5 linked regions of the Cricetulus griseus genome follow. The protein of the gene in region 3 interacts with the protein of the main gene of each other region in a pairwise test. Links are inferred from orthologs where the notes say so. Each region holds a gene or a part of one and is shown on either strand. Other genes may lie near its edges. The genes, in order: Tfip11, Sox5, Lmo1, Cby2 and Ptpn3.

The links.
Region 1: the proteins of Lmo1 (region 3) and Tfip11 interact in binary tests that used the Homo sapiens proteins (3 or more experiments, as listed by UniProt). The two-hybrid records come from large-scale screens. The link is inferred for Cricetulus griseus from reciprocal best matches to the Homo sapiens genes LMO1 and TFIP11.
Region 2: the proteins of Lmo1 (region 3) and Sox5 interact in binary tests that used the Homo sapiens proteins (3 or more experiments, as listed by UniProt). The two-hybrid records come from large-scale screens. The link is inferred for Cricetulus griseus from reciprocal best matches to the Homo sapiens genes LMO1 and SOX5.
Region 4: the proteins of Lmo1 (region 3) and Cby2 interact in binary tests that used the Homo sapiens proteins (3 or more experiments, as listed by UniProt). The two-hybrid records come from large-scale screens. The link is inferred for Cricetulus griseus from reciprocal best matches to the Homo sapiens genes LMO1 and CBY2.
Region 5: the proteins of Lmo1 (region 3) and Ptpn3 interact in binary tests that used the Homo sapiens proteins (3 or more experiments, as listed by UniProt). The two-hybrid records come from large-scale screens. The link is inferred for Cricetulus griseus from reciprocal best matches to the Homo sapiens genes LMO1 and PTPN3.

The regions. Positions count from the first base shown.
Region 1 is NC_048597.1:91,999,083-92,005,311, forward strand, and holds the start of Tfip11 (tuftelin-interacting protein 11), read left to right. Parts: upstream 1-2,074; 5' UTR 2,075-2,204; intron 2,205-2,431; exon of another isoform or gene 2,432-2,632; intron 2,633-3,685; 5' UTR 3,686-3,899; intron 3,900-4,184; 5' UTR 4,185-4,193; coding exon 4,194-4,402; intron 4,403-6,061; coding exon 6,062-6,215; intron 6,216-6,229. UniProt on the Homo sapiens protein: Involved in pre-mRNA splicing, specifically in spliceosome disassembly during late-stage splicing events. Intron turnover seems to proceed through reactions in two lariat-intron associated complexes termed Intron Large (IL) and Intron Small (IS).
Region 2 is NC_048601.1:5,793,183-5,798,827, forward strand, and holds part of Sox5 (transcription factor SOX-5), read left to right. Parts: intron 1-1,000; coding exon 1,001-1,304; 3' UTR 1,305-5,645.
Region 3 is NC_048596.1:91,610,835-91,616,909, reverse strand, and holds the start of Lmo1 (rhombotin-1), read right to left. Parts: upstream 4,064-6,075; coding exon 4,048-4,063; intron 1-4,047. UniProt on the Homo sapiens protein: May be involved in gene regulation within neural lineage cells potentially by direct DNA binding or by binding to other transcription factors.
Region 4 is NW_023276807.1:229,952,207-229,957,851, forward strand, and holds the end of Cby2 (protein chibby homolog 2), read right to left. Parts: intron 3,142-5,645; coding exon 1,951-3,141; downstream 1-1,950.
Region 5 is NC_048595.1:86,573,879-86,580,219, forward strand, and holds the start of Ptpn3 (tyrosine-protein phosphatase non-receptor type 3), read left to right. Parts: upstream 1-2,872; 5' UTR 2,873-3,485; intron 3,486-4,179; exon of another isoform or gene 4,180-4,300; intron 4,301-6,341.

The sequences.
Region 1 (6,229 bases), on a different chromosome or scaffold from region 3:
GAGAAGGTTTTTGTTTTGTTTTATCAAAGATGGCTATCTTGCCTAAGGGTCAGTATTCCATAACTCTCCTTAGTTTGTGAAACTCTTGTAGTATACGTCCAAGCCTCAGATGCCAAACATTTCTGAGACTTTTCATCACAGGCTTTCCCTTTGTGAGTATTATGGAGTAGCAATCATGTCAAATTGAGGTTGAGCTCCTACCAACCGGGTGAGACACAGACACACCTTTGCCAGAATAGAAATGAAGTCAGCTTGTGGCTTAGGTGTGCTTGCCTGCCTGGCTGGGTTACTTTCACTTTGTCACTTGCAAGAATATTCTTCCCCAACATAAGTGTACTTTTAATTTCCATGCACTGGGATTCCTTGCATATTCTCTGAAGGCCCCCCCTCCCCCGCCATGTGACTGACCTCTATGCCGGTTTATCTTATGACAAGGCTTTCCCCTTCTCCATTCTCCTCCCCCAGGCAGTTTCTAGATCTCCAGCTTGTTTGCCCTGTTTTTTTTTTTTTCTTTAAATTTGCACTTTGGGCATCTAGACTTACCCTCCAATACCCCCTCATGCCATGTGGCTGACCTCCAAACTGGCTATCTCAAATGGCATCATGCCTTTCCTTTTCCTCCATTCTCCTCTGGGCAGCTGTGAGAGTTACAGTTTGCTCGACCTTTGAAGGGTTGCCCTCTAGCCTTCGTTTTTATCTGTTCTTAAATTCTTTCATGGACTATAATCCCCAAGAAGGGACCCTGACTTCACCAGTTAACATGGTGACATTGACAGATGCCCAAAGCGCTTCACTAATACATCTTTCCGGTGCGTTTTAAGTTAGGTTTCATAGTTGTAACGACCATGATCAAAAGCAACTTGGGGAGGAAAGAGTTTATAGGTTACAGTTCACTAAGGAAAAACAAGATGGAAATTGAAAGCAAGAACTGAGGTAGAAGCCATGGAGGAACACTGCTTATTGGCTCGCTCCCCAAGCTCAACCAGGACCATCAAAGCAGGGGTGGCACCACCCACAATGTCTGGTCTCTCCTACATCAATCATTAACCAGGTTAATGACCCCACGGGATTGCCTAACAGGCCATCCCAGACAACTCTTGTGTGTGTGAAGCTGACAGGGAAAACCAACCAGCCAAACAAACAAACAAACAAAAAACAACTAAAAACCCCACCAGGACGTGAGAGAAAACTAACTTTTTCTTTAACCCTAGATGGCATCAGACTATAACCCGGAGAAGCGTAAGATGAAATATGCTTTTGCTTGGCGGTGGTGGCACACGCCTTTAATCCCAGCACTCTGGAAGCAGAGGCAGACCAGCGAGTTCAAAGCGAGTTCCAGGACAGCCAGGGCTACACAGTGGAACCCTGTCTTGAAAAACCAAACCCAAACTAATCCAAGCAAAAACCCCGCCCCGCTTCCCCTTAGTTGTTTATCACAGCAAGAGAAATAACTGGAGCGGAGAGGAAAATAATAAAACTTCTTCCTGGAGAGAACGCTTGTGCACGCCTTCCGCCCATTCATGCCTTAAACTTTTGTGGGCCCAGGCTGGCTTGTCCTAAAAGAGCCAAGAAGGAGGCACCTGGGTGCAGAAATCTGCTGTCTTAGTGTCAGTCTGTTTCAGGAGAAAACAGGAATAGGGACTGGCAAAGGAAAACGGGTTTATTTACAGCCTGGCCAGACTGCCTGGAGATAAGTTCTTAGGCTCCTTTACCTTTCCTGTTTACAGCAAAGAGGAAACAAAAGCCCGGAAGTGTGCATGATGATTGCTCTGCAGCGAGGGGATCGGAACGGAGAAATCTCTCCTAGGAAGCCCCTCGCTTTCCCTTCTCGCGACAGGGAGTGCCGAGGGCGTTTTAATTACTCAGGGTCCGCGTGACATTGGTTCAGGTAGTCCGGACCCGGCTGTTCCCATCCGCGAGGGGGGGGGTTCCCGGAACCATTCCTACGCTCCCTTGGACACCGGTCAATGGCGTTCCATTGGCCGGATGTCTACTCCGCCTCAGTTCCGGTGGAAACCGGAAGCAGTGCGGGCGGGATCTCTAGTCCTTCCGGCACGCAGACCCTCCCCCCTCTAGTGGCAAGTCACCGCCTAGTGACGTCATTCCGGTGCGCCGGCAGGGCTACATCCGGGTTTCGGCTGGCGGGCTCCTCGCAGGCTCTCGTAGGCTGGAGAAAGCTGTGTGGCTGGCAAACGCCGAGCGAGGTGAGCGGCGGGGTCGGGGTGGCGTCCTGGGAGCACGGGCTGAGCCTCTGCGGCGGCCCCATGGCCTCCCTGCGCCCGGGTCTCCAGCCATGGGCTGCGGCGGGGCCGGGACCAGATGAGGCGCTGGGAGCCGCCAGCGTCCCGATGCTGACACTGGATAGCCAGCCCCGGGCGCGCTCGTGTTGTGAGCAGCACCTGACCGCTGTGAAATTTTTTTTTTTTTGTAGCAGTTCTGTGCTGGGGAGGCGACGGTGTTGTAATCCGATTGGTCCAGGGCTCCCTGCCTCCTTTGAGAACTTTGCGAGCAAAGTGCACTCGTAGCTCAGGTTGGAACCTGTTGATGTTAACGGTGCATAATGAGGAGGAGCAGGGACACATTTGTTAATGGCTAAGCAGTCCCACCCTGCTAGAGAAGCCCAGATCTCGCTGTACGTAAGGAAGACCGCTGTCAGTCGATGGCGTCACACACTGAGGACGTTAGTGTGCTGTGTACCACGCTAGCGTTTTTGTGTGTGATATCCACGCATGTGATAACCACGCACAGAGGCGCTGGTAGAGGGGGGCTTTGAACTCAGGCTGTGTGGTTTAAGTGTTCCTGATTTTCACAATCCTCCCTACCTCCCTCCGTCCCTACACAGGGTCTCTCTGTGTAGCCTTGGCTGTCCTGGAACTCGCTGTGTAGACCAGGCTGGTTTCTAATTCACAGATCCGCCTGCTTCTGCCTCTCCAGCCTGAAGAGGATACTGTTTTTGGTTTTTGTTTTGGTTTTTTCGAGACAGGGTTTCTCTGTGGCTTTGGAGGCTGTCCTGGAACTGCCTCTTGTAGACCTGGCTGGTCTTGAACTCACAGAGATCCGCCTGCCTCTGCCTCCTGAGTGCTGGGATTAAAGGTGTGCGCCACCACTGCCCGGCGAGGATGCTGTTTTTAAAGCACCTATTGGGAGCTCAGCTTTTGTTATTTTGTTTGTTTTGAGACCAGGTCTCACTGTGTGGCCCCGACCAGCCTGGTATTCACTATGTAGACCAAGCTGGCTTTGAATTTACAGAGTAGACCTACCTGCCTCTGCCTCCTGAGTGAGGCGGTGGGGTGGGAGGTTGAGGAGGGGGATTGTGGAGTAGGTGTTGAGGAAGTTTTCTTTCTTTCTCTCTCTCTCTCTCTCTCTCTCTCTCTCTCTCTCTCTTTTTTTTTTTTTTTTTTTTGGTTTTTCAAGACAGGGTTTCTCTGTGTAGCTTTGGAGCCTATCCTGGCACTGGCACTTGCTCTGTAGACCAGGCTGGCCTAGAACTCACAGAGATCCGCCTGCCTCTGCCTCCCGAGTGCTAGGATTAAAGGCGTGCACCACCAACTCCTGGCAGGAGTTCTCTTTTCTAAAGTGCCACTTTAATCAGTCCTTCTAAAACCGACTGTAGTCACTGATACAATTACCGAGATGGCCAAACAGATTCCTGGGTAGAACAGTTTGTTTATCCCACACCCTCTAGGTGCCGCTGTGTAGTGTCATTCATAAAGACCTCAGCCTTCCAGTACCTCAGAAGCCACTCAGGTTTGAAAGAAAAAACCCGAGTGTTACACTGGTCATTCAATCTCATGAAACAGTATTTCAGAAGACATTCAGAAGTTTCCCTGGGACTCCCAGTTGGCTTGATATAACTCTTGGAGAACTGAAGAGGCTGAGGTGCCCACTCAGTTTCTGAGGTAATAACATAGAACTATTACTTCCTTCCTGTGGCACTTATGGGTGATGTTTGACTCTGACAAGGCCAAGGCAGAATGGGTTCTTAGACCTGTATGGACTGCTGGGACTGACTTCTCTCACTTGTCCCAGAGCTGGCCACTTTGTCCTGTGTTTAATGGCTACTTTATTGACTGGTAGCATGAGGCTAATGGGCTTTCCTTTGGAAGAAACAGGAGTAGAGATTCCTGGGCATCTTCTGTTGGCCCCAGGGTTTCACATTGCTCTTCTTGTCCCCCTTCCTCTAGTGACCAGCCATGTCACTGTCCCACCTGTACCGGGACGGGGAAGGTCATCTGGACGATGATGATGATGAGCGTGAGAACTTTGAGATCACTGATTGGGATCTCCAGAATGAGTTCAACCCCAACCGGCAGCGTCACTGGCAGACCAAGGAGGAGGCCACTTATGGGGTATGGGCTGAACATGACTCCGATGAAGAGAGGCCCAGCTTTGGAGGCAAACGGTACTGTCTGCTGAGCTGCATGCCCTGGCTTTAGAGGATCGGAGAGGCACCCCAAAAGAGTTTTCTGGCCTATCAAGTCCTATAGCTACAGCATCTTGCTGTGTGTTGTTGACCTGGGGTGGCAGGTTCTTCCTCAGCACTTACTGTGACGAATACAGCTACTTAGGGATAGACGAGTGCTAACCAACCACAGGCTTGGTAGCTTTGGAACCATGCCCTGGTCAAGGAGCATTCTCACAGGTCCTAAAGGATAGGGAGGTTAGGGAAGGTCACCCTGTAGAATACAGTTGGCTGAAATGAAGGTAGAGAGTGATTAGGGCCACAAGATAAGTGTGGTAGGACAGCCTGTGCTACACAGTAAGACACTGTCTCACAAGAAAAGAAAAATGCATGTGTCCCCACACTTAACTACACTCAGAATTTTTTATTAATTTTACTTAGGATCCCCCCGAGACAGGGAGTCTTTGTGTGGCCCTGGCTGTCCTACCACTGCCTCTGCCTCCTGAATGGCAGGGATTAAAGGTGTGTGCCACCACTGCCCAGCTAAGATTCTTATCTATCAGAATTTTTCTGCTCCTGTTTGATTTTTACACTTGAAATGGTATCTAAAACAAATGGTGTGTTGTGTGTTGCTGGGAATTGGACCTAGGGCCACATGCATGCTAGGTGAGTGCTTTACCACTCTAAAAGCTAAAAACATTCTTTTCAATTGTAAAGGGGGGGGGGCAGTGGGATGGCTCAGCAAGTAAAGCTGCTTACCACTGCCACACAAGCCTGGCTATCGGAGTTCTATCACCAGATCCTACATAAGAAGTGAAAAGGAAGACCCACCCCACAAAGTTGCCCTCTGACCTTCACATGCTTGCGAGGCACATGTGCCCTCATCGTGCACATTTTTAAAAGTGTCAAAGGGAGGGCTGGAGAGATGGCTCAGAGGTTAAGAGCACTGGCTGCTCTTCCAAAGGTCCTGAGTTCAATTCCCAGCAAGCATATGGTGGCTCACAACCATCCAAAATGAGATCTGGCGCCTTCTTCTGGTCTGCAGGGACACATGCAGACAGAACACTGTATACATAATAAATAAATAAATAAATAAATCTTTAAAAAAAAAAAAGGTGTCAAAGGTAGTGGGGCAGTGGTGGCACACACCTTTAATCCCAGCACTCAGGAGGCAGAGACAGGAGGATCTCTGTGAGTTCAAGACCAGCCTGCTCTACAAGCGCTAATTCCAGGACAGCCTCCAAAGTCACAGAGACACCCTGTCTCGAAAAACCAAAAGTAAAAAAAAAAAGTGTCAAAGGGAAGTAAGGTTATTACATCATCTTTTTAATTTATAATCAACTCTGGGAGCCTATCCTGGCACTCACTGTGTAAACCAGGCTGGCCTCAGACTCACAGATATCCACCTGCCTCTGCCTCCCGAGTGCTGGGATTAAAGGCATGTATCACCACTGCCTGGCAAGATATTATAATTTTTAATATGCTAAACATAAGATTATTGGAGGTCAGTTTTGAGTCCCTTTTGGCATTTGGGCATAATAAACATATTATGGTTTAAAGTGGATCCCACGAGGCCCCTCTCTCTAAGAAGTTCTCTCTGTGAGGACAGGGTGCTGCAGAGGTGTTTTCTAGCCTTGGGGGATTTGTGTCTGTTTACAGGGCCCGAGACTATTCTGCACCGGTCAACTTCATCAGCGCAGGGCTCAAGAAAGGGGCAGCTGAAGAAGCGGACTCTGATGATTCTGATGATGATGAAAAGCCTGCGAAGCAGGAGGACTTTCCAAAGGACTTAGGACCAAAGAAGTTAAAAACGGTAGGTCTCACAGG
Region 2 (5,645 bases), on a different chromosome or scaffold from region 3:
GATGCAGCAAGGTCACAGACAGGAGAGTGCCATCATGAGTTTAGACCTCTGCCTCAAGGATGCTCTCTGCACGGTGATGCTATATATGCCGCCTACAGCCGCACTGCAGAATTCTCAAGATACACAGGGGGGAAAAGTCACTCATGCTTGAAACAAGAAGATACAGAGAGCATAGATAGCAAAGACCACTCTGGGGATAGGCAGAAGGTGGCTGAATCATAAAAGGTAGCTGATCAGACCTGCCACACACCCTCCAGAGCCAGCATGCTCTGTGCAAGGCTCCAGGAGGCCACCTTTTCTGGAGCATATAGTAAGTAAATCTATCAATGAATGAAAGAAAGTAGGAAAATGAGCCCAGGTGAATGTCTAGGAAACCCAACCCACCAGTATCAGCTAAATTAATTTTTAAGGTCCACTGCAAAACCGAGAATCCCATGTTAAAAGGTTTTAAATAGTGGGAGAGTAGGACTTGGAAGTAAGTCTGGGACTATAGGCAATTTCCAGGGCGGTATGTCTATGAGGCTGGCTTTGCCTGAGGTCCCCAAAGGACTCACACCATTTCACACACTAGGTAGATAACATTACTTGATCATACTTTGGGGACCATAACGTTATTCTGAAAGTTCTCAATAGCTTAGAGATTTTTTTTTTCCATTGCACTGGAACTATCTCTAGGTTCCATTGTAGGAGAAACAAAAACTCCTTCCATCTGTCATAGTGAAGGCAAAGCGAACCAGGAGGCAAGCTCTTGGTTCTTGCTGAATCTTTCTGTGACAGATTTTTTTTTTAACCTAATAATAAAAAATCAGGATTATTTTAATTATCAAATGGCAATTCAGCTATATGCCTCCTAATCTATGAGGCACCATACAGGCAGGGGAGGCCCTAGAATCCACACGGGATGTCATTGAAGCGTGTTGGGTAAGCCGGATCCAGTTAGTGCTGAGCCAGAGGACAGCTGAGATCTCATGCGTATGCTCACCTTCTTTTTCTGTGACAGGCAACAAGCACAGATTCCCATCGCCACTGCTGGAGTTGTGTACCCTGGAGCCATCGCCATGGCGGGAATGCCATCCCCTCACCTGCCCTCAGAGCACTCGAGTGTGTCCAGCAGCCCAGAGCCCGGGATGCCCTTGATCCAGAGCACTTACAGCGTGAAGGGAGAGGAACCTCACATCAAAGAGGAGATCCAGGCAGAGGACATCAACGGAGAGATTTACGACGAGTATGACGAGGAAGAGGATGACCCAGATGTAGATTATGGGAGTGACAGCGAAAACCATATTGCAGGACAAGCCAACTGATAAGGGCCAACAGACTGTGGTGTGGTGAGCTGAGGACTTAAAGAAGCCCTAGCTGGTCCATCCTTACCAGTGGCCAAGCACATTAACTTTCTCATACACTGACTGTTATTTTAACTGTTAGTCTTAAATAGTTGGGACATCAGCTGACAAATAGACCTCAGCCTCAAAAGGCTCGGAAAGGAAACAATTTCCAAGCAGACAACATCAACAAGAGATTGAAATAAGCTATGGGTAAAACAAAGCCAGTAACTCAGCTGCTAGACCCCAGCACTGAAGTCTCACCCGTCAACTTTTTTTTTTTTTTAATAAACTTTATGGCTGTTTGTTCTATAACTAGAAATTCTCACTCAGGTACACAGTGCCAACAAGTGGCTTGTGAATGTGTTTTGTTGTTTTGTGCTACAATTTTTAAAAAAGAAATAAGTTTTGTTTTGTTTTGTTTGGGGGGGATGGTTCTGGGTTTTTCTTTTACCTTCTTTCTCTCTTTTTTTTTTTTAATCCTTTGTGATTGTTGTCTTGCACCTGACAGAAAGAGGGAGATGGGCACTTGGGTCCCTCTGCCCTGTCTCTCTTCTGCTTTAAAGATGGGGTCCCGTGTGTGAGGGTGGGGGGGAGAGAGGAAAAAGAGAGCCTGTTTTTGCCTTCCTTGGTTCTATACCACACAATCAGCAATCATTTCCTTTGGAGACCTCTTACTCTTGCACACAACACTACATCTTTAAGCAAGTGCCAAATCCATACTGAAGCGATCACCAAGTTCATTTTCTACCCCTTCCTTACTCCTGCTCCTTCTTAAGTTGGGACAGTGTTAAACCTTAGACAGTCCCTGGAAAGAGCTGATACACCAGCAACTGGTGAGATTGATTTTTTTGTAATGGAAACTGTAGGTGCCGTTCTCAGGTGAAAAGAGAGAGAGAGAGAGACATAGAAATTTAGAGGAAAAATATTTTCTGATCTTGGATTTCTGTGTGTGTATGTGTGTGATTATGGTACATTAGATACATTCCTATTAGGGAATAATGTTGGGCCATTGAAAGCAAAACCCACATGTGGGAACGGAATCCCACCTCTCCTAAGCAAGTGGTCTAGAATAGCAACCTTGACCTTGACCTTGACCTTGACTTTGCACTTCTAGTGACAATGGAACTAAACGTAGGGCTCAGAAATTCTATTTTTCAGTGTCAAGAATGTTTCTTATTGGGTGGACCTGGTGGCCCTGTGTCATGGACATGTGCTTGGCAAACATGGAAGCTACCAACCAAATGCTTCCTGAGGTCCCTTTCTTCCTGGACAATTTGCTTCTTCTAATGTTTGCTACTTAGTGGTGTGTGTGTGTGTGTGTGTGTGTGTGTGTGTGTGTGTGTGTGTGTGTGTGTGTGTGTGTGTGTTTCCTGTTGAAACTTTGAGTAAAACAATCATTGTTTTGACTGAATATATTTGGCCATTTTTCAGAGATACAGAATTAGGGTGTGTCTCCCCCATTCCATCTTTTCCCAATTGGGAAACAGAACTGGTAGTTCTGTAGGATTTTCGTTTCATCTCTCCATGCAATGAGGTCAGAGGCTGCATTTCACAAACGGGGGCCATGTGTATGCCCTTCCATAAGAACTAGGATTTGGTTACAGTTCACTGTAGCACACAAAGGGGAGGCTGGCCGAGCACAGACCCTTACTACTGTATGGTCCTTCACGGTAATTTGAGTCTGCTAAAGATCAATTGCTCCTGCCAGCAGACTCCTTGCTGGGACTAACAGCCAATGGTGACAGGACTCGTGATACAGATGTCACCAACCAAAGGGCCAAGGCAGGGGTGGGGCCTGGAGAAACAAACACAGAGTCACTTCAGGTCACTCACCATGGTTAGTGTTTAGTATCAGTCAGTCAGCACTGTAGCCAGTGGCCTGGATGGATATGTTACACTGTAGCCAGTGGCCTGGAAATGTTACAGTATTCAATCCCTTTTTCAAATTGCCCCACCAAACACTGCCCTTAAGTTTGATTTTCCCCCCCGGCACAACTAAGCAAAAACAACAAAAAAAAGTAAAGAAGAAAAATCCTTTTTGTTTTTCTCTCTCTCAAAAGTCTTGCTCTGGGGTTTTGCTTGGAGGAGCTGATCATACCTGCATGTCAGAGGTTTGGTTCTGTTTTCTGTTTGTGGTTTGTTTGTTGTTTTTATTTTTTTAATGACTGTATTTTCCTTTGAATTGCCTCTTTTTGCTAGTGTTGTAAAATGATGATAAAATAATAATAATAATAATAGTAATAATAATAATAATAATAACAGTCAGCTGTTCCCAGATTAGTAAATTATGTATAATTTATTTTATTTCTCCCTTTCTATTTTATTCTGCTCTGATTTGGAAGTACAGCCAGTAAGCTGTTAGGTATTTAAAGTTAATTTCTCTTTCCAGCTCTTACACACATGTACACACATACATGTATGTGTGCATATGATACACATATACTCATCCACACACTTGCTTCTCCATCCATAACTTCCTCTGTGTTAACAGTCTTGGCCCCGGTAGTGTCAGTTCTGGTGTTTAATATGAAGGGGTGAATTAGTAGGAGGGTTGTGTTCAATCTTAATTAACTTATGTTCTTTTCTCTCATTTTAGTTATTTAATTACCAATTATCTAGAGCCAATTTTTTGTTTTTGTTTATTTTGTTTTGAAGCACTCTGAATAAGAGAAAAAAATAGACACTTGTTTTTATACCATTATAACATACAATGTGAAAACAGATTTATTAAAAAAAAATGTTTCTCTGTGTCTGTTAACAAACCCTCCTGACTGATGTGGGTTTTCCATTTAAGTGTGCTGGGTTCTGATCTCACAGCACATTCTAGACAAGCCTGCTTTTCCTTTCTTGACCTTGGGCAACAAGAATACTTTGTTTTAGCTCCAGGTAGATGCTACTGAAGGCATCCATGGCCAAAACCCATTCCGACACAGTGCTATCTGAGCAGGCTCTCTCTTTGGTCGGCATTTGTTTTATTTGAAGGGAAACAAATTGTTCATGGTGACTTGTAGCAGCCGAAACTCTCCAGTTTAGTTGAGTTTTATGTCTATGATTGAACTGTGCCCAGAGAAAACCACAAAGCAAGTCCATAATATGTCCTGTCATAGTCTGTCCTGACATTTTCTTCAGTGGATGTTGAGTTTGCTTTGCCCAAGAGTTTTCCCTGGGGGACAACAAAAATAAAGGTAATTCTATTCATGTCTAAAGTGCACTGAAGTCACTTAGGGGAAAAAAAAAAAGGTGCTTTTAATAGCAACTGTGTTAACACTTTGCCCTTTGGGCCCTTGATTGGATGATGATTTTTGTAAAGGATCCTAAAACCTTATATTCTTTTGTGTGCCACACAATGACCAAATAAGATACGGTAAAGGAAATAAGACACAACAAAAAGATCAAAGGTAGCAAACTGAATACCACCTTCCTCTCCCCTGCCTATCTGATCAAGCCACGCCCCCACCCTCCTTCCTTTCCCCTGCCTGTCTGTTCAAGCCACGCCCCCACCTCCTTCCTCTCTGGTCTGTTCAAGCCACACCCCATCTCCCCTCATCATCCCTGCCTTTATAACACCACCGAAAAATAATACTGCCAGTTTCTCCCTTTTATATTTGTAATTGGTACCTCTTAAAATAGTCCAGTTTGATATAAATCTAAGAAAAATATTCACCAGAAAAGAAGTGGGTTAAGGTTGTTAGTAAGTTAATGATAATTTGGTTAGTTACTACAATCAGGAGAAACACACACACACACACTAGTGTATTTTTGCTCAGATTAATCAAATGAACTTTAAAAGTTCATTTGGTATCTAGCTAAGAATTACCTTTGTGTAAAACACCTCCCAATAAACATAGTTATCATGGTTGAAGCCAAATTTTCCCATAGGGAATGAATATTAAGGTGTAAAGTGTTGTTTAATGAGGTCACTTCATATATTTGATTTCTGAAGTACAGTCACCTTAGTTCACATAAAGGAAGTTATCTCTACCATTTTATGGCCCCTCTCTAGATATTTTCTTAATGCACAAGCTGATACTGTTCTCAGAGGAATCCTCTTCTATCTCATTTAAAAACATAAGAAAGAATTAGACTTTCCTTACTCTAAAGGGTAAATTATTGAATTGTAATAACTGTATATTTACAAACAGGTTTATAAAATATTTGTCTATCAAGTTAATAGTGAAGTAAAACTTTAGGAGGTCTGAAAGAAAAAAAAAAAAACCACAAAACCCACTTAAAGTGGCTGAGCTCTCTCTGTCTTGTAGGGCACAGGCATTTATTTAGCCAGGTTTATACAGTATTTAATTTTGAAGTTCTGCAGGTTCA
Region 3 (6,075 bases):
TTATCACTGGAGTCCTATTCTCCAATCTACACACCCTCATTCAGATTTCACCAGGTCTCTCAACATCTTTTATGGCAATCTCCTGGGTCACTTGTCACATTCCCCCATTGTGATGGCTAGGTTTATGTCAACTTGACATGAGCTAGAACCATCTGAGAGGAGGACATCTCAATTTAAGGAAATGCCTCCATATGACTGGGCTGTAGGCAAGCCTGTGGGGTGCTTTCTTAATTAGTGATTAACGGAAGAGGGCACAGCCCTTTGTGGTGGTGCCATCCCTGGGCTGCTGGTCCTGAGTTCTATAAGAAAGCAGGCTGAGCAAGCCCTGATGAGCAAGCCAGTAAGCAGCACCCTTCCATGGCTTCTGCATCAGCTCCTGCCTCTGGGTTCCTGCCCTGTTGGAGTTCCTGTCCTGACTTCCTTCAATAATTAACAGTGATGTGGAAGTGTAAGCTAAATAAACTTGTTTCTCTTCAAGGTGCCTTGGTCATGGTGTTTCATCACAGCAACAGTAATCCTAGCTAAGACATTCATTCACTTGAACCTAGAGGAATTCCTAGGTGTCTGAAGAGATCAGTACTTCTGAGGTAGAAAAGCCCACTATTTCTAGATTATCCCTGATCTGGATTTATTTGATACTTTTCCCTGTAGCCTTCATTAACTCTGGGCCTTAGTTTCCCTCTTTGTAAAAATGGGTATGAAAACAATACTCCTGCTGGGTGGTGGCACACACCTTAATCCCAGCACTTGGGAGACAGAGGCAGGTGGATCTCTTCTCTGAAGCCATCCTGGTCTACTGAGTGAGTTCTGGGACAGCCAGGACTATGTAGTTAGACCCTGTTTTGAAAAGCAAAACAAAAACAAAACCCAAAAGAAGAAAAGAACACTCGTCTCAGAAAGCCCCCATGAGTTATACAGGAGTCATGAGGACTAGCTGAGCCTGAATGTCAAGCTAGTTGTGTGTCATTGACTCCACACACTGGAAAGTTCAGTCACAGCCCCACTTCAGTGCCCTATACCAGGGACAGGCACTTCCTTTGCAGAGCAGAGAATGGATATGAACTTGCCACTGTGGTCAGAGTCACATTGGCTCTGGCCAGATAACAGTGTCATCCAGAGGCTGGTCCAGTAGTCAGTGAGAGCATGTCAAGGAGGAAGTCAGCCCTGTTCCTTTGCAGGGCTGTATGATGAGGTGCTAAGGAGACTCACACAGGAGACTTTGTGAAGATGAGATGACACTAGAAGGTGTGAAGATGTACTCAGCCACAGGACACATGAGTAGAGCACACAAATTCTCCTCCACAGGCATGGAATCGCACAGGCCCACAAGGGCCACACAAGAAGGGGCTGTGTCTGTTTTTATTCTCCATCAGTTCTATCAATGCCCAGCTTGGAACTGACACACACCAGGTTCTCAGTAACGCACACGAAAACACATTCATGCGTGTAAGTGTGCATATGCATGGCTGGGCCCATACACATGTTGGTGTGCTGATATAAACATACACTGTAGCACAGGTGCACACAGTCATGGGCTGCCGTAGCCCATCACTCTTAAAACAGACTCTGATTCGATCAAAAACTGACACCTTAGAGACAGAAGGAAGCAGAAGCCACCTGAATCCTTGTAGAGCATGAGAGCCTCCAGCAGTCAGCCCTGTCATCCCCTCCCACCTCTGCTGCCGACAGCAGGACTCAGAGGCCTCATAGATAAGGGCTCTTGCCATCCACCTGGGCCCATCCCAGATGTGGAGTTCAAGGGAAGCACCCCAGCAGAGCCTGCCTGTGTCCCTCCTGGGCGTCAAATCCCTTCCACAAGGAAATTTGAAAGTGTAATCTAATTCTGATGCATCTCTCTCAATCTCGTTTTTTTCTCAGAAGTAACTCTATTCTGCACGGGCCCGTGCAGCCTGTGAGAAGGCTTCCATTTCACACGGGTTTTATCTCCACAATTTCTCGTCTGGCTGCACTCCTATCCCAGGCCCTGCCACGTGGCAGGTGAGGCCTGAACTAATAGCATTTCCTACTCATTTGGAATCAAAAGCCAAGGAGAACAACTGTTGGAACCCACGGCCATGGTCATCTAGTCCACACTCATTACTGACCTCTGAAAGTCCATTTGCAGCATGGTGTTTACTGGGTCAGGTTAGGGAGGGAAAATCTAACCAGGCACTGACACAGGAAGCAACCTTGCCTCCTTCAGTTTCTTTGAAGTGTCCTGCCTGCTATGTCTCAGAGTGTTCTTCCCGCTCCATCCCACAATTCTTGCTTGTCCTAGCCTCAAACTCTGGCAGGCACTCCTGACTAATCCACAGGCCACGCCCACCAGAAAGGACTGCCTGGCAGCATCCCTAGCACCTGCTGCCAGGGTCACCCGACACAGATGGATGGTAACACTCCACACCACCCTTTCCTGAGTGCTGCAGGTTCACTCACTGTGAGCCAGTGCCTAGAAATCTCATGCCATTTGCCCCATGGCAATCCTAGGAGTGACCAAGGTTGCCATGGAGACTGGTCACTGTCAGGAAGCACCCATTCCCAGCTGGAAACATGGGTGGCCATACTGTCTTTTTTCCTAAACAACGGGGAAAAGTGAACTTTTCTTGGACCATATGAACCCTGCTAAGGAAGAAAGCTCCAGAGCACATTCCAGGGACAGCTATCATGATGGGCTGCTTGCGGGCTGAGTACTGACTCAGGTTCAGCAGTTTGGAGAGCAATTTCCAGTAGAGTATTAAGAAGCAGTAGCACTTCTGCAGTGAGCTTTGGAGGAGGCCAACTGTCCTTAGCATCTTGCATCTAAACCCTGAAGCCTCTGTGACTTTGGTGTGTCTAGAGATGGAAAAAGCTAAGGTCAGGGATGGGAGAAAGTGGAGGCTGCACAGCCTGGAGTATGAAACAACAGCCTTGCAGAAAGTCTTTATCTGGGGCACCTCTGACACAACATCAGATTGGTGGACTGTAAGCAACAGATTCATTTTCCCAGTCTAGGGCCTGGGAGGATCAAGACCAAGGCACTGGCCCAATCATTGTCTGATAAGGGCCTGCTTCCAGGCTCATGGACAGCTGTTTTCTCGCTGTACTTCACATAGCAGAAGGGGTGGGGGAATTCTCTAGGCTCCCACACATGAAAATACTAATCCCATTCATGAGGTTCTGCCCTCAAGGGCCCCGGCTCCTAACAACACACTACTGGGGAGCTAGGGATTAAGCTCAGAGATTCAGAGGAAACACATATATTCCAAGAACCAGCTAAGAACTTGTAGAAAGGCCAGCAGGCAGAAACACCCAAGACTGTGGCAGCTCATGGGCTGACCTTCCCACAGTTTTCCTAGGTCTTCTGTAGGCCTTTAACCAGGACCTGGCCATACAGGAAGCTGTGCATGCTCACTGGAGACCCCTAACTGGAAGGAGGCTTAAGTTAATGGCACAGATATCCAAGGTGGCTTTTCCCTCTCTGGGTTAGGAATGGGTGTCTGGTTTTTGTTTGTTTTTGTTGTTGTTGTTGTTGTTTGTTTTGGTTTCCCTGCAATCTCAGACATAGCTTAAAAGCTACAGGTCTAAGCTAGGAGCTCTGAATGCCAACCCAAACCTGGCCTCTCTACCTTTGTGCCCTGCTCTACCTTTCTTTCACAGTACCTACACCATCACCCCAGGCCATCCTCTGTCCCCAGAGGAACTCAGGAACACCATACATACACACACACACACACACACACACACACACACACACACACACACACACACACGTCCTACTACTCTCCATCCTAGCTGCTTCTTTCCATCTCCAGAGCCTTTTTTTTTTTTTTTTTTTTTTTAGCCAGGGTCTCACATGGCTCTCAGGGTGGCCTGGAACTCACTATGTAGCCAAGGATGACCTTGAACTTCTGATCCTTCTGCCTCTACCTCCTGAGCCTCTATCTCCTGAGTGATGGAATTAGAGGCATATACCATCCTTCCCAGTTTATGCAATGCTGGGCATCAAACCCAGAGCTTTATATGTGCTTATCAAACACTCTACCCCGAGGAACGTCCCCAGCCCCCCACTCTCATCTTTCACCATATTTTGGGCATTGGTCTCATAAGCCTAGTGCTCTACAACCCATTCTTTACTCTGCAGTAGGAGAAACCTTTCCAAATAAACCAGGCTGGAACCTTTCCATAGCTTCTGGCACACTGAGCATGGCACACTTGCTCTGCATGTAGCCTGGAACAGCTTCATGTGGTCTGGCCCCTATATCCCCCTTCCATGTTGAGCTCCACCACACTCCAGCTCTCCCTGATTCTCTAGGGGTTCCTGTCTTTCCACCCTGGAACTTAAATATCAACAGAGGGGACTGACTTTTCCACCCCTACTTCCTTATTTAAACCACCCGTCTCTGCCTGTCATTTCCTTTTGAGTTTTCAAAAGCAACTGGTCATTGCTCTGTTTTCCTCTGGAGAATTTACTGGGAAAATGACGACTTCTCTCCCAAGCATTGAAGCCTCTAGGAAGGGGCCCTGTCTTATCTACCGCTGTTCTCCTAGCACTGAACCTGACAGCAGTCCTAAGCATCGCTTCAATAAATGAATGAAGAGACTTAATGGCAGCTATCCAGATATTACTGGCAAGCATCTCTCTGGCTGGAGTGGGTAGATTTATACAGGCAGGGCCCCAGAGAGGGGGGCCTTGATGGCATACTGCTGCCCCCTGTCACGGAGCCCAAGACACTTGTGGCTCTAGGAAAAAAGAAGAGACAGGACTTAGTCCTGTCTGCCACAAAGCAATTTTCCCCCTTGTTTGTATGCATGCATTTTAGTGTTTTTAATGGGTACCAGGGATCAAACTTGGGTCCTCGTACTCAAACAGCAGGCACTTTACTGACTTAGCTTTCTTGAAGTAAATTTTTGAGAGGTAAATCCCAGGGCTCTACTCCATGATTTCCTTTACACACAACACTCTGACCCCCTCAGACTCTATGGGAGGCAGCACCATAGAGTTCAGGGGTCAATGGGAGGCTAACAGTTCAGTCCTTTCCTCTCAGTTCTGTCCTGGACCCTTTGGCTCCACACAGCCCTGGCTTCCATTGCTCTTATCGGAAGGTCTTCTGGGTGTATTAATATGACCATTTTCCTCTTATAGCCTGGGCTGAGTCTTTAGCACCCAATGGGAAGTAATGCCCCCCTGGGGTCGGATTTCCAGTAGGTAAACACCAGGCCCAAGTCTTTTTCTGTCTAGAGTCTTTCAATCCCATCCCAGGATGCAGAGGCTAGTCACCATGCTCCTTAGAGATGTGCTGCCTGTAGCCACACATCTATGGGAGACCAGGGAGGATGTGTGTGGAAGCTGTGTTCCCCAGATGGTGACTCAGCTACATCCTGGGCACCTGCAAAGCCAGCATCACCCATCTAATGAAACGGGGCTCCCAAGAGGCCTGCAATCTTCATGGAGGAGGAGGAGGAGGAGGACCCAGACTCTCAGACGAGTCTCAATTTCACAGCATCAGGGACATGAGCACCAACGCGCTGAACCAGAAAACGAGAGTCTGGCAGGAGCTGCAGACACACCGTGAGCATCAGGGGAGCAGAGATTAGGGCCCTTCAAAATCAATTTTGAATTCAAAGTTTTAAATGTGTTCTCCAGGCACAAAGAGGGGAAACCTCCAGCCCGGCTCAGCTTACCCAGCTGCTGGGCTTTGCTTCTTTCATGAAGCAACAGAGCACAGCACCTGCTAGCTACTATGAGAGGGACAGTGGAGGGGGCCTGCACCTTGTCACCAGGACAAAAAGGACAGAGGATTTCTCAGTACTGGTTGACAGAGCATAGGGCTGGGGTTTCCTGCTGACACTCTGGGGGCTACTACAGCTTTTCTCTGCAGAACTGGGAAGTGCCCAACCTTCTGGGAAGCAGTTTAGAGAGATCGCTATGGATTCTAGACTAGCAATGGACTCCTAGGAAGAAGATCCTTGTTCGAAACAAACTTTCCTTCCAGCCAAATGGAGGAAGAAGAGCTGGATATAGCCCCAGGGAAGCAGGGAGGCCTGGAGCACAGCCCCGGGGAAGCAAGAGGGCCCTATGTGGCAGTCAGCAGAACT
Region 4 (5,645 bases), on a different chromosome or scaffold from region 3:
CTCTCCAAATGCAAAGCTTGAGGCTCAGTTCTAAGATCTACCTTGCCAAGAGAAAGCTTTCAGCTATTCTCAAGGGCCTAGTGTTAGACTAGAGGCATACCTATAAGAGTGAACAGTAAGGGGCTAGAGGGATAGCTCAGTGGTTAAGAGCACTGACTGTTCTTCCAGAGGACCCGAGTTCAATTTCCAGCAACCACATGGCAACTTACAACTGTCCATAACTCCAAGATATGACATTCTCACATAGATCTACATGCAGGCAAAACACCAATGCACATAAAATTAAAAAAAAATTAAGTAAAAATTTAAAAAAGTGAACTTTCTCACTGTTCCACTATAAGTTAGATTCCACTAGAGTGCTGGCAATCTGACAGATTGCTCTGTGCTATACAATGAAGCAATGTTGTGAAATAAATCTCCCCCACACCATAAAAATGGCAACTTATGGCTTGTCTGGCTTTTTTTTTTTTTTCATCCATTTAGATTCTGCCCAACAGAGAAAGTTGACATGGCTAAATAGTATTAAGTTCCCTGAGCACTGTCAACTCATGAGACAACATTTAACCGCTGTTATGTAGATTAACCCAAGTTAAATACTGGGAACACAAACCTTAGAAGAGTGTGTCTTTTGTCTTCCCGTTGTGCAGCATAACAGAATCGATATGGTTTCATCAAAACACAAAAGTAACACACCCCGACACACACACACACACCCTGGGGTTAGTACCCTGACTTAAACAGGTTTGATATTTATGGTCCCCTGAATGATGAATTAATTGAACAAACAGAGAAGGAAAAACTACTAAGGCCCAGAGGACCATCAACAGCCAGTACACATTTTTCAGATTCAGGTGACATTAGTAGAATAAATGACTAGCCTCCTCCTGTACATCCGTCACTGTCTACCCTGGGTGCAGAGCAAATGTGCCACTGACTAGTGAGAGGAAAACCTCTCATATTGTCCCCCCTCCTCTGGGATTTCTGATGCTGCTCTGGGGGTGAGACTTGTCAAGTTCTTAAATCTGGAAAACAGATACCAAAAACACCTTTAATGCTTAGAGACTAGGAAACCAGCAGTGAGTGCCATGGAGGAGCCTGACTTGGTCTGCGGTACGAGTCCCCACTTGGCTTTTCCTACCTGTCAGTTGGTGACTGTCTTAGAATTCCTGTTCTCATGTCTTAGAGATGAGAATGCCCACCATATAGGGTTCTAAGGATACTGAGACTCCCAACATGCCAGGACCTCCAGGAGAGGGGTGGGTTACGGTTCCTGGCTCAAGGTCTAAGGAACTCAGCCAGAGAATCCTAACAAACTGTGGACTTTACATGCTAATAATGAGTCAATGTAGATTCATCAATTCTTATAGATCTTAGTAGGGGACGTTGATGAGTATGGGCAGAGGTCTACAGGAACTTTGACTTTCAGCTCAGTTTTGCTCTAAAGACTAAAGTCATCGTCTATCACCCCATGTCACGTGCCTGACCTCAGCCCCTTCCTCTTTTACTATGGTAGCCTAGCTAGAGCCTTAAATTCACAATCCTCCTGCCTCAGTCTCCTGAATCCTAAGAATGCAGAAATGTACCACCATACCCAGCTAAGTCTATAGAGGGGGAGAAAAGGCATAGGGGTTGGACGAGGAGGAAGGGGGGTTGGACAAGAAGGTTGGTGAGGGAGGAGGAGGAAAGAGGAGGACAGGAAGCAGAAGAGGAAGTGGGAAGTTAAAAGAGTAATGAAGACAGATGACAAGAAGCCAAAACTCCACACTGGTGTCGGCTGGCCCAGCCTCCTCTGCCTTTATTGTGTGTCTCTGGGTGTAGGATGGCCCTTTCTCTGCTGTTCCACAGGCATGCACTGGGGGTGACAAAGGTGAGGAAGACATAGGGAGGCTGGGGATTCTCTCTGGCCTCCTGTGCTGTGCTTGATCTGTGTCTATGTCAGCTGAGAAGGCCTCAGACCCTACTGGGCTTCTTGGGATCTTTACTGTTCTTGGCCGGCATGAAGGCATACAGCTCCTCAATAAGCATCTCCATACGGGCTGTAACTTCAGTCACCGTGTCAATGACCAGCCGTTGCTGCAGCTTCAACTTGTTGTTCTCCCACAGGGCCTTGTTCTCCTCCTGGAAGACTCGATGCTCCTCACGCAGGACGTGCAGAGCCCGGTTCTCCTCCTGCAGCAGCCTATTCTCCTCTCGCAGGGCCTGCAGGGCCTGGTTCATCTCTCTCAGCAGCTGCAGAGGTTGAGCGCTGTCAGATAGGTTGGGGCCTACTTTGCCCTCCTCCTCCCCAGATGGTCCAGATAAGTTGTTAACCATCTCCCTCAGGGCACGCAGTGTCTTAGAGTCCTCCTGTGTTGGAGGCGGCCCCTTGTGCTCCTCAAATGGGGAGGAGAGGCCTGGACTCTGTTCTGGCAGAAGCCCAGGGTTATGGGGCTCCTCCTTGGGTGAGGAGGTGGGCTTGCCCTCCTCGGCAGAAGTTGCATTGTCTTCTGCCTGGGCCCAATAGGCCTGTCTCTGCTCCAGCAGCTGCTGAAGGGCCCGATTCTCCTCTCGAATGAGCTGCAGGGTGTTCTCCTTGCTACGCTGGACAGGCAAGGTGACATTGTCTTTTTTCACCACTTCTTGGGAGGCTGTGTCCTTGTGCATCAGTGGTGAGGAGGATGGGTTCTCCTCATGGCCCAAAGTGACCTTGTGCTCTTCCCAAAAGATCTGTAGTATCTTGTTCTCCTTGCGGAGGGCCTTGTTCTCATCCCTCAGGGCCCGGTTCTCATCCCGTAGAGACTTGTTCTCCTCCTGCAGCAGGTGCTCCTTGGCCAGCCTCTTGTGGTGCAGCTTATGATGGAAAGAGGAGGACGGAGAGAAGTAAGGCGACTGCAGGCGGCAGTTCTCGTTCACCCAGCGCCCATCCTGGAAGACAAACATCTCGTCGCTGAGCTGCACCCTGGGAGGGTTGTAGTCCAGTTCCAGGTCAGCTTGGGAGGTGGGGCGCTCCATGGGGTCAAAGGGCACAGAGGAGAAGCGGTTGAGTGGGTAGGAATGCTGGCTGACTACCCTGCGACTCATTCGGGGCAAGGCAGTCTGCCTGGAGCAGCGAGGAATACTGTACAGGTTGTGCAACCTCAGGAAGGGCTCAGTGGTGCCCCTCTGTGGGAGAGAGCAAGGAAACTGTTACAGGAACTAGTAAAGGACTGCTTGCTGGTAGACTAAGAGGCCCAGAGGACCCCCCCACACACCCCGCACCTGACCTCCGAGCATCCTCACAAGGAAATACAGCCAGCCTTTGTTATTCTGAATACCTTTCTTCTTGAATTAATGAATACTGAACCATGGTTCCTAGGGGAGATGCTGGGCTAGGTTCCTATAAGGTTCTGGTCATAAAAATTCTGGTAATTGATCCTTGTTTCTGTTTAAAGACACCCTCACGGATCTGTAGATTGGCAGTGGGTGCACCCGGCCTGAGCAGAGCTTATCTAACAAGCTTGCTCCGGGAGGCACAGCACAGGCACACTGTAATTAGGAACAGTCTTTAACAGGGTTTGTAGATGCCACTTTAAGCAAGGAAACCACCAATAGGAAGCACAGGTTTCAGAAAATGTAGTGGTATATAAACTGCAAACAGGACACTATTTTCCAGGATGAGAGTTCAAACAAGGGGTGCCTGGAGGCCAGTTCTTGGGTGTACACTCCCACAGACTCTCTACAGATCCAAGAATGACCACAAGTATTCTATGGGCACTAATGCCGTGATAGTCAAAGGTCTATAAATTCATAACTATAAAGTCTATGAATAATGAGCTATGCCTTGCACAGGCCTGTTAACCCCGTTATATGGAGGCAGTGCAGATAGGAATGTAATCAGAACTTCAAGGCCATCCTGCTCTACATAGCATGTTCCAGGCAAACCAGGACTGCATAGAGAAAGACCCTGTCTCAAAAAAATGAAAACCCACAGATAATAAGATCCAATCATATGTTAGAAATTAAAGGCATGGATTTTAAAGTCAAACATTTTTTCCTCTTCAACTTCAGTCCTGTTACTTATCAGTTATAAGAATTTGGGCAAGTTGTATGAATTTCAGTTTCTAAAATTTTAGCTTGGGATGACTACACCTCCTTGAGGAGGGTGTCAGGTCCCTCAGAGCTGCAGCTGCAGGCATCTGCAGGCTGCCAAGCTGGCTATGTGGTTGCATTTGACCTATATAATTCACTTAATTCTCACAACACTGGCAATTGAAATATTATTTTAGCTTACCTGGAACATCCCTAACCTGGAGAATCTCAGTTCCAAAGTGCTCCAAAATATGTATCTTTGTGAGCATCCACATGATGTCACAAGTGAAAAATCCTACACCTGCCTTCATGCAAAGAAACAGGTGCACTAAAATAGTGCATAAAATTATTATGAGTTGTATATGATATCTACATATCATATGGATTTAATGTTTTTGCATGGGCTCCATTCCCTGAGAAACCTCCCTTCCTTCTGTCTCCATCTATATATTGAAATATCCCAAAATCTAAAAGCCACCCCTTTAAAGGCTGCTTCCTGCATACACCATACTGAACATCCATGATGAGTGGTTTCAGTCATGACTTAACACAATCTAGAATCACAATCTAGGTGGGGGATTCTCAATGAAGACTTATCTGGATTGGGCTGTCCTGTGAAATACCTGTGAGGGATTTTCTTTTTCTTTTATTTTCGAGGTTTTTGTTTTTGTTTTTTGTTTTTTCTAAATTGGGTTACTTGATGTGGGAAGATCCAGCCCACAGTGTGTAGTGCCATACCCTGGGTTTGGGTCCTAGACTATGTAAGAGTGGAGAAAATAAGCTAAATACTAGGAAAGTGCATGCAATTAGCGTCCCTCTGCTCTTGTCTGTGGGTGTAACTAGTAGTCTCAACTTCTTGACTTCCTTTCAGTGATGGGATGTAACCTGTAAATCAGATAAACCCTTTTTCCCCTAAGATGTTCATATTGGGGACATTTCATCACTGCAACAGAAATGAAGCCAGGACAGCAGCCATTTCATCATCTTGAACCTAGAATCCAAAGCCCCAGGAGCCTTGATCTCAAAACTTCCATGACTCAGTCCCATTGAGAAGTTCTTGTTTCTCCATCACCTCTAAAAATGAGCCTGCTCATGGCTGCTGTGCCTGCTTCCTAGGTTCATAAGAGAACAAGTGGTAGACAAGATGTCACACAAAAAGAGAGTCCCACTGGTAATATTTGGAAACTCCTGTTCTAAACTACTATGAAATCTGAATGTATTGCTTTACAAAAGGCTCTGCCAAAATGTAAGCAACAAAGCTGAGCAAATACATGTAGATTCAAGACCCCAGTCTCCTTTAACTGGCACTCAAGAGTCCTGCCCTTCTCCGTAGGGGTCTTGGGCCAGGTCAATGATATTCCCAGATTTCTTCCATTGGCTGATCTAATCTGTTTGATGACCTGGGTCTTGACAAGATTTCTATCTGTATTTGGAACATCATGAAGGGGTTCTACTGATCCTAGGAGATTCAGTCAATGAAGGAATGTCTCTTCTTGGTCTTTGGGACATGTTCTCCCATAGAGATGGAGAACAGTGTGTGAAAAAGAACAAAGTTGGCTCTTTCAGGGAATGAAGTTGTGGAAGGGGAGCACAGGTGA
Region 5 (6,341 bases), on a different chromosome or scaffold from region 3:
GTCTTGATGCGAGTGACTGATGGGCTGTGGTGCTTTTTCCAGGAAACTCTTCCCACTAATGCCCTCAACCAATTGCTGCTATGCAGTGTTGGACACTGGGCATTACGCACAAATGGTGTCTTCCTGGGGCTGCTGCTAACTTTGCTTGCTGTTCACACTGTTCTCCTCCATCAATCTGGTCTCTAACTAATGGTGAACATTTAGCCTGCTGTGTGTCTCCTCTCATTAAATCACCTCCCTGGTTTGTTGTTTGGGGCGGGGGTGGGGGGTTGGGGGGGTTGGATTTCTTGAGCCAACACCAACAAGACAAAGAGCAATTTGGCGTTTAATTGTAAAAGGGCTGCTGGGGGCGGGGTGCTTTGTTCCAGCAAACAGCAGTAGGACAGTTAACTCTACATCGCATTACAGTCTTGAGTCTTGAGAGGGTCTGTGGACAATGTGTCTCCACTAAGTCATGACCCTGTCCCCACTCCCTAGCCCCAAATGACTATCCAGGGACATCATCTATCTACATAAATCCCTTTGGGCCTGGCCTCATTCTCTGGGGCTCAGAACAGTCCTATTCACTACTGGGCGTTATTTGCTTTAGAGTTAGCCGTGAAGATTACATGTCCATCCAAAAGTCCCATTCACAAAAGAAGGGACATGTACACTATAAAATCACTTGTCATTGAGGCTAATAACATCACGCCAATCCAGCCACATCGGATTAAAAGGCGGGGCTTGACTATTTTGGCCCCAAGAACAAAACAGTAACAGTAGACCAGAATGTTAAAAGTAATCTGCAGCCTAAAAAATACATCAAACTAGGGGGGGAAAGGCACACAAAGGGCAGAATAAAATGACAGTCTCCTTTACTCATCAATCAATGGCTAGCTCCTTTATATAAGGCAACAGACCATAAAACCTGACACCCCGCTATGAGGTCAATGGGCTTGCCTTCAAATCCTCCCCAGTGTGTGTCACCAACTGTGAACCCATCCCTGTCCCCAGCTGTGAACCCACCCCTGTAATTGTTTTCAGTGAAACTGAGATAAAAACAAACCAAACCACCTACTGTAAAGATTGAAGAATTCATGGAAAACATTGGCCACATTTGAACTTAATCATGGATGTGTGTGTTATTTACTTGGGGGAAGGTTTTTGAGACAGGGTCTCTCTATAGAGCACTGGCTATACTGGAACTTGCTAGCCAAGCTGGCCTAGAACTCACAGAGATCTGCCTGCCTCTGCTTCCAGTGCTGGGATTAAAGATATGTGTCACCATGTCCAGGTCTTTAAGTGTTTACTATCACACACACAACATTAAGACATTAATTAACTTTAAAAACCAAACAAAACAAAACATAGAAGCCCTGGCTGTCCTGGAACTTGCTTTGTAGATCAGGCTGGCCTCAAACTCACAGAGACCTGATGGCCTCTGCCTCCTGAGTGCTGGGATTAAAGGTCTGCAACACCACTCCTGGCTTCAAAATTCTATTATTTGCATTCTTAGTGGTGTGTCCATGCCACCTTTTCACAATTTGTTGCTTTCAATATTTTCATTTGTTGTTTCCTGTTGTTGCATAGTGATAGAAATAGTTTAAGTTATAATTTTATTTGTTTATTGTGTGTATGTATGCATGTGCATGCACATGGAGATCAGAGCATAACTTGCTTGCAGGAGTCAGTCTTCCACCAGGTGGGGCTTGGGGATTGACTGATCTCAGGTCAGTTTGTCTGCAAGTGCCCTTACCCACTGAACCATATCAAGGACCCGAGAGATCTAGTTGTAATTATTTCAGTGAATGGATCTGAACACAATCAATCATTACCCTCCCTTTGAGCATCTGCTTTGTTCCAGTTGGGGAGGAGGATTCTTTTATTTCTTTTATTATGTTCCTGGTTCTGTTATGGTGATTTGAAATACGAATTTAAAAAAAAATCTTGCTTGTTGGTGGTAGCACATGCCTTTAATTCCAGCACCTGGGAGATAGAGACAGGTGGAAGATCGAGGCCAGCCTGGTCTACAGAGAGAGTTCCAGGACAGCCAAGGATACACAGAGAAACCCTGTCTCGAAAAACAAAACAAAAAATTAATAATAATCTTTAGGGATTTAAGGTTCACAGCTATTTTCTAGCTCGAATCTGAGACCATTGCTTAAGCAATGATGAGCAGAGAAAAGGTAACGGTTTTACTCCAGCAACTTTAAACTGGACAGCGCTAAGAATTCTCCAGGCCTCATCTTAGCAGTCCGTGTTACGAGAGGATGGCATAATTGAGATAGGCACTTCCGAAACGAATATTGGGGTAAGGCTTCTAGTGGTAGAGATTCGTGCTTATGGTGTGCAAAGCCCTGGATTCAAGCCTCAGCAAGGGGTAAATATTTAAAGTGGACTGAATAAATTCACGTCCTTTTTTATTTTATTTTATTTTTCCAATCCCCACACGCCCCCGAATCCAAGCGTAGGCATTTGTATTATTTAGGGCACAGAGAGCGCAAGGCTCTGGTAGCAGATCACACAGCAGCTGGTAGAGGACAGAGTGTGCAGTCAGCTGACTCTGAATGGTCTTCCCACCATGCTTGGGGGAGGAAGGTTACCCAGCACTCCCTGCCCGGAGGCAGAAGGCTGAGCCTGAGATGACCAGGTGGGACTCGGTGTGCAGCCTCACCAACCCCTCCAGGGGGTTTTTCCTTCCGGACGCTGGGCGCCCCAGGCTCCGAGCATGCCCAGTGCTCTCCCTGCCGGTCCGAATGGTGCTGCCACGGCGCTGTGGCTCCAGGTTTTGCGTACGATCCTAGGCGGGGCCAAGGCAGTGCAGCCCCCGGGACTCCCGGCTCTGTCGGAATTCCCCGGACGCGACGCTCCCGCGGCTCCCGCAGCGGTGCACTACCTTGGGACCGGGACCGGGATCTAAACCAGTAAACCAGGCACGGTCGAGGGTCTCATGGTGCCTAGGGGACAAAAGGTTCTCGGGACATCCGACTATAGGGGTCCTACCCACCTCTACATCCTCCGGTTAGCAATCTTCATTCAACAAAAACGTTTTTAGTTTGTGCCAAGAGTTGTTTAGAGGTTAGGTCTCTTGAGAGGCGGAGCTACCGAACTGACACTGAAGGGAGGTACTCCTTACGGGGGACCCAAGCCAAGAGAGACAGCCAGTAACCGACCCCGTTTGTCCCTGTGCCCTCTTTCCCGTGCCGTAGGCACAACACCTGCGCTCCTTGTTTTGGCACTGACTTTTCCGTCCTAGGAAAGCTTCCTCGTTTAGCTGCGTGACTGAATGGTATTTGTCACCTGATCCGGCTGTTCCACCAACTCTCATCAGGCCACCCCCCTAGCCTTCTTGCCCAGCTCTCTCCCCCACCATCCCCACCCCGTTCTTAAGAATTTATCACCTCATACACTGCGTTGTTTGCGGACCTGTTGTTTGTTGCGAGAGACTCCCTTCCAAACTCCCAGCAAGGGGCAGAAATTTTGTCTATTTATTAAATGTGAAGAACGTAAGTAATTGTTGAATGGATACGTGATACTTGCTTGGAAGGCGATAACGGACGTGGAGAGTGGCCAAGAGGTCAGGGCTAGTTTAGAAAGGTAGCCAGAAAGGCCTCTCCTACGGAAGATACCTGTACGGTGAGAGGGCGCCGGGCACCAGCTAAGTTGGGGAAAAGACGTCCTACCCCGAGGGAAAGGCAGCGCAAACGTCCCGAGGCGAGTCAAGTTCAGAGGGTGTGATGAAGAGGAAGGTGCACTCAGAGCGCAGGAAGGCAGGTGTGGGAGGAGGCGGAAGAGGCAGGCAGGAACGCCCTCCAGCTAGGGCCCCTGCTGGCCTTGGGACAGGCTAACCTGTTTGGCGTCCTAGGACCAGCAAAGGACTGTGCTGGAGTGTCAGCGAGATCCCCAACTCAGCCACGGAGCCCGGTGCAAGCTCGCTGTCATTTCAAAGATTCATTGAGCGCCAAGTCCTTGCCATTCCTAGGCATGCAATCCCGGAAAGTCAGGCACACAGTAGGTGTTCAATAAATGCTTAAGGTATGAACGGCAGCGAACGTGAGCCGGGGTCTCGGAGGTCCGCGGGATGTCGGCAGGTGGCCCGCGAAGGGCATGGCAGCGTGCCCCAAGCCTGCCCCGGGCCCGCCCCTGTCCCGGGTCCCCCGCCCCGCGCGCGGGCCCGTCGCGGCCACAGCCGGGCCGGCGGGAGCCGCCCGCGGGCTGCACTGGGCATGCTCAGACGGCGGCCAGGTCGCGGCGCGAGCGAGCTTCCGCGCCGCCCGTCCGCGCGACCTACCTGGGCGCCCCGCGCCCCCGGATGCTGCAGGTATGGGCGGCTGGGACCTCCGCGGGGTGGGCCGGGGCGCTGGCTGCGGAGATCAGGGACTCGCGGGGCGCCACCCCACCCCCACCCGGCCCGGGGCGCGGCGGACATGCGGGAGGACTAGCGGGAGGGCTGGCAGCCCCGGGTCCCCCGCGCCACGTCGGGCATCTTGGGGGGGCGCTCAGGCCCGGATCACCTGGCGGGGCTGGGGCGGGGCGCGAGCGGGGACGGCGCAGGGCTGGGCGTTCAGGACACGGCGGCGCGGGCGTGGGCGTGCGCTCCAGTCTGGTTGAGCCCTGGGCCCGGCGCCGCGATATAGTCAGCCTCGCCGAGGGGGCGCACGGCCGCGGGGATCCATCCGTCCGCGGCCCCCGAGGCTCGCCCCCCAAATTGGGGGGGCGCAGTTCGCCTCCCAGTTGCAAAGATGGCATTTCCTGGGCCTGGCACGAACTCCAGAGCTAATCCAATCCGCCCCGTTCCGCGGGCGACCGGGTGGCTTCTCTGTTAACTTGCGGTGACATTGCTGCGTTGTGCGGAGAGAGAACCGGAAACCCTCGCCCCCGGTTGCTGCCACCCAAACTTATTACGAACTTGAGGGTTGCCTTTAAAAAATTCATGGGAAGTTAAGACAACTTGGCACCTGGTGTTCCATGAAGGTGCAGGGAGCTTGTGGTTAGGAAACGCGAGACCTGGGTTCAAGTTGGGCTCTTTACCTTGGCCAGTTGGTGACCTTGGACGAGTAGTTTAACCTCCCTGATCCTCCATTTCCTCCCTTGCATGCAGGCAGTAATAATGCCCACCTCGCCTGGTTGGTGGTGGATTAAGTAGGATAAATGATGTGGAGGTGTTTGGCTCTGTGCCCGGCACAAAGCAAGCGAGCAGTTGGCGTGATGTGATTTTAATTCAGTTAGAGACCCTCGTGGCTCCCATTTCGTCAGGAAATTAGAATTAGGCAAGCATTTTCGGAGCCTGTGTTTGTGCCCCGGAGAAGGTCTGCTGAGGCTTTGGAAAAGCAACTGAACAGAACGGTGGGGAGCAGAGAGCCTCTTGTTTAAAGGCAGTCTGGAGTTAAGAAACTCCAGAAGTTGACACTTGGTCCCCACTTGCAGAAAGAACTGTTTCTGCAAGATGACCCGCCTTGCAAATGAGTTGGAAAGCCTGTCTGGGAAGATGCCGATGCTGCAGAGCTCCCATGCCTAACCTTAAGTACTTGGATCAAGGTTTGTCGGCATCTCACAGTGGGTTTGTGTCTTCTTTGCGGTGGGTGCCCCTTGTGCATTATAGGGTGCAAAGCAGCCTCCCTGGTATTTGCTCAATTGGTTCTTGCTGCAGCCCTTTCCATGTGCCAACCAGAAATGCCACCATGTATTGTCTGGGTTGACGTGTCTCCCCTTTCAGTAGAATTAGTTGTGATACGCTCTGCTTTTTGTCTAGCCTAGGCTATCTGAGAATTTCATCTGGGGCTTTTTATGATAATAACGAACCTTTGCAGTTAGTTACCTCGTAGAGTTGTGCAGTGTGTATGAACATCTCGTTTAGGTTTTACAGTTCTCCCTGAGAGGGTGGTGTCACTCCCATTTTATAGAGGAGGAAATTGAGGCTCTGAGCGGGCACCTGTAATTGTCCTGATTGTAACTGGGATGGAGGAACCCAAGGCTTCTGGTTCCAGGGACAGGGCTTTTTCTTCTGGATAAGACTGTCATGTGTGGCTAGACCTCACATAGATGTCTTTCCTGACGATTAAATCAAGATCTGGACTGTATTGGAAACTGGAAGCCTTCCTGAGATTGCCTAGTTGAAAATTAACAACAGTAAGCTATTATCTGACAGGGAGTAGGCCATTCTAGTTAAATATTCTAGTGTATGAGCACTCCCATAAATCCCCACATACAGTTAATGGAATACCAATCTGCCGAGAATTAGAATGGAATAAAAACGTGCCTAATACTCTATATTGATCTGGGTTGTCTCTGGTGATTTGTCTTCTCCTCCAAAGACTAGTGTATGCAAATTAGACATGAGTGGCAGACGGGAGGTCAGGTTG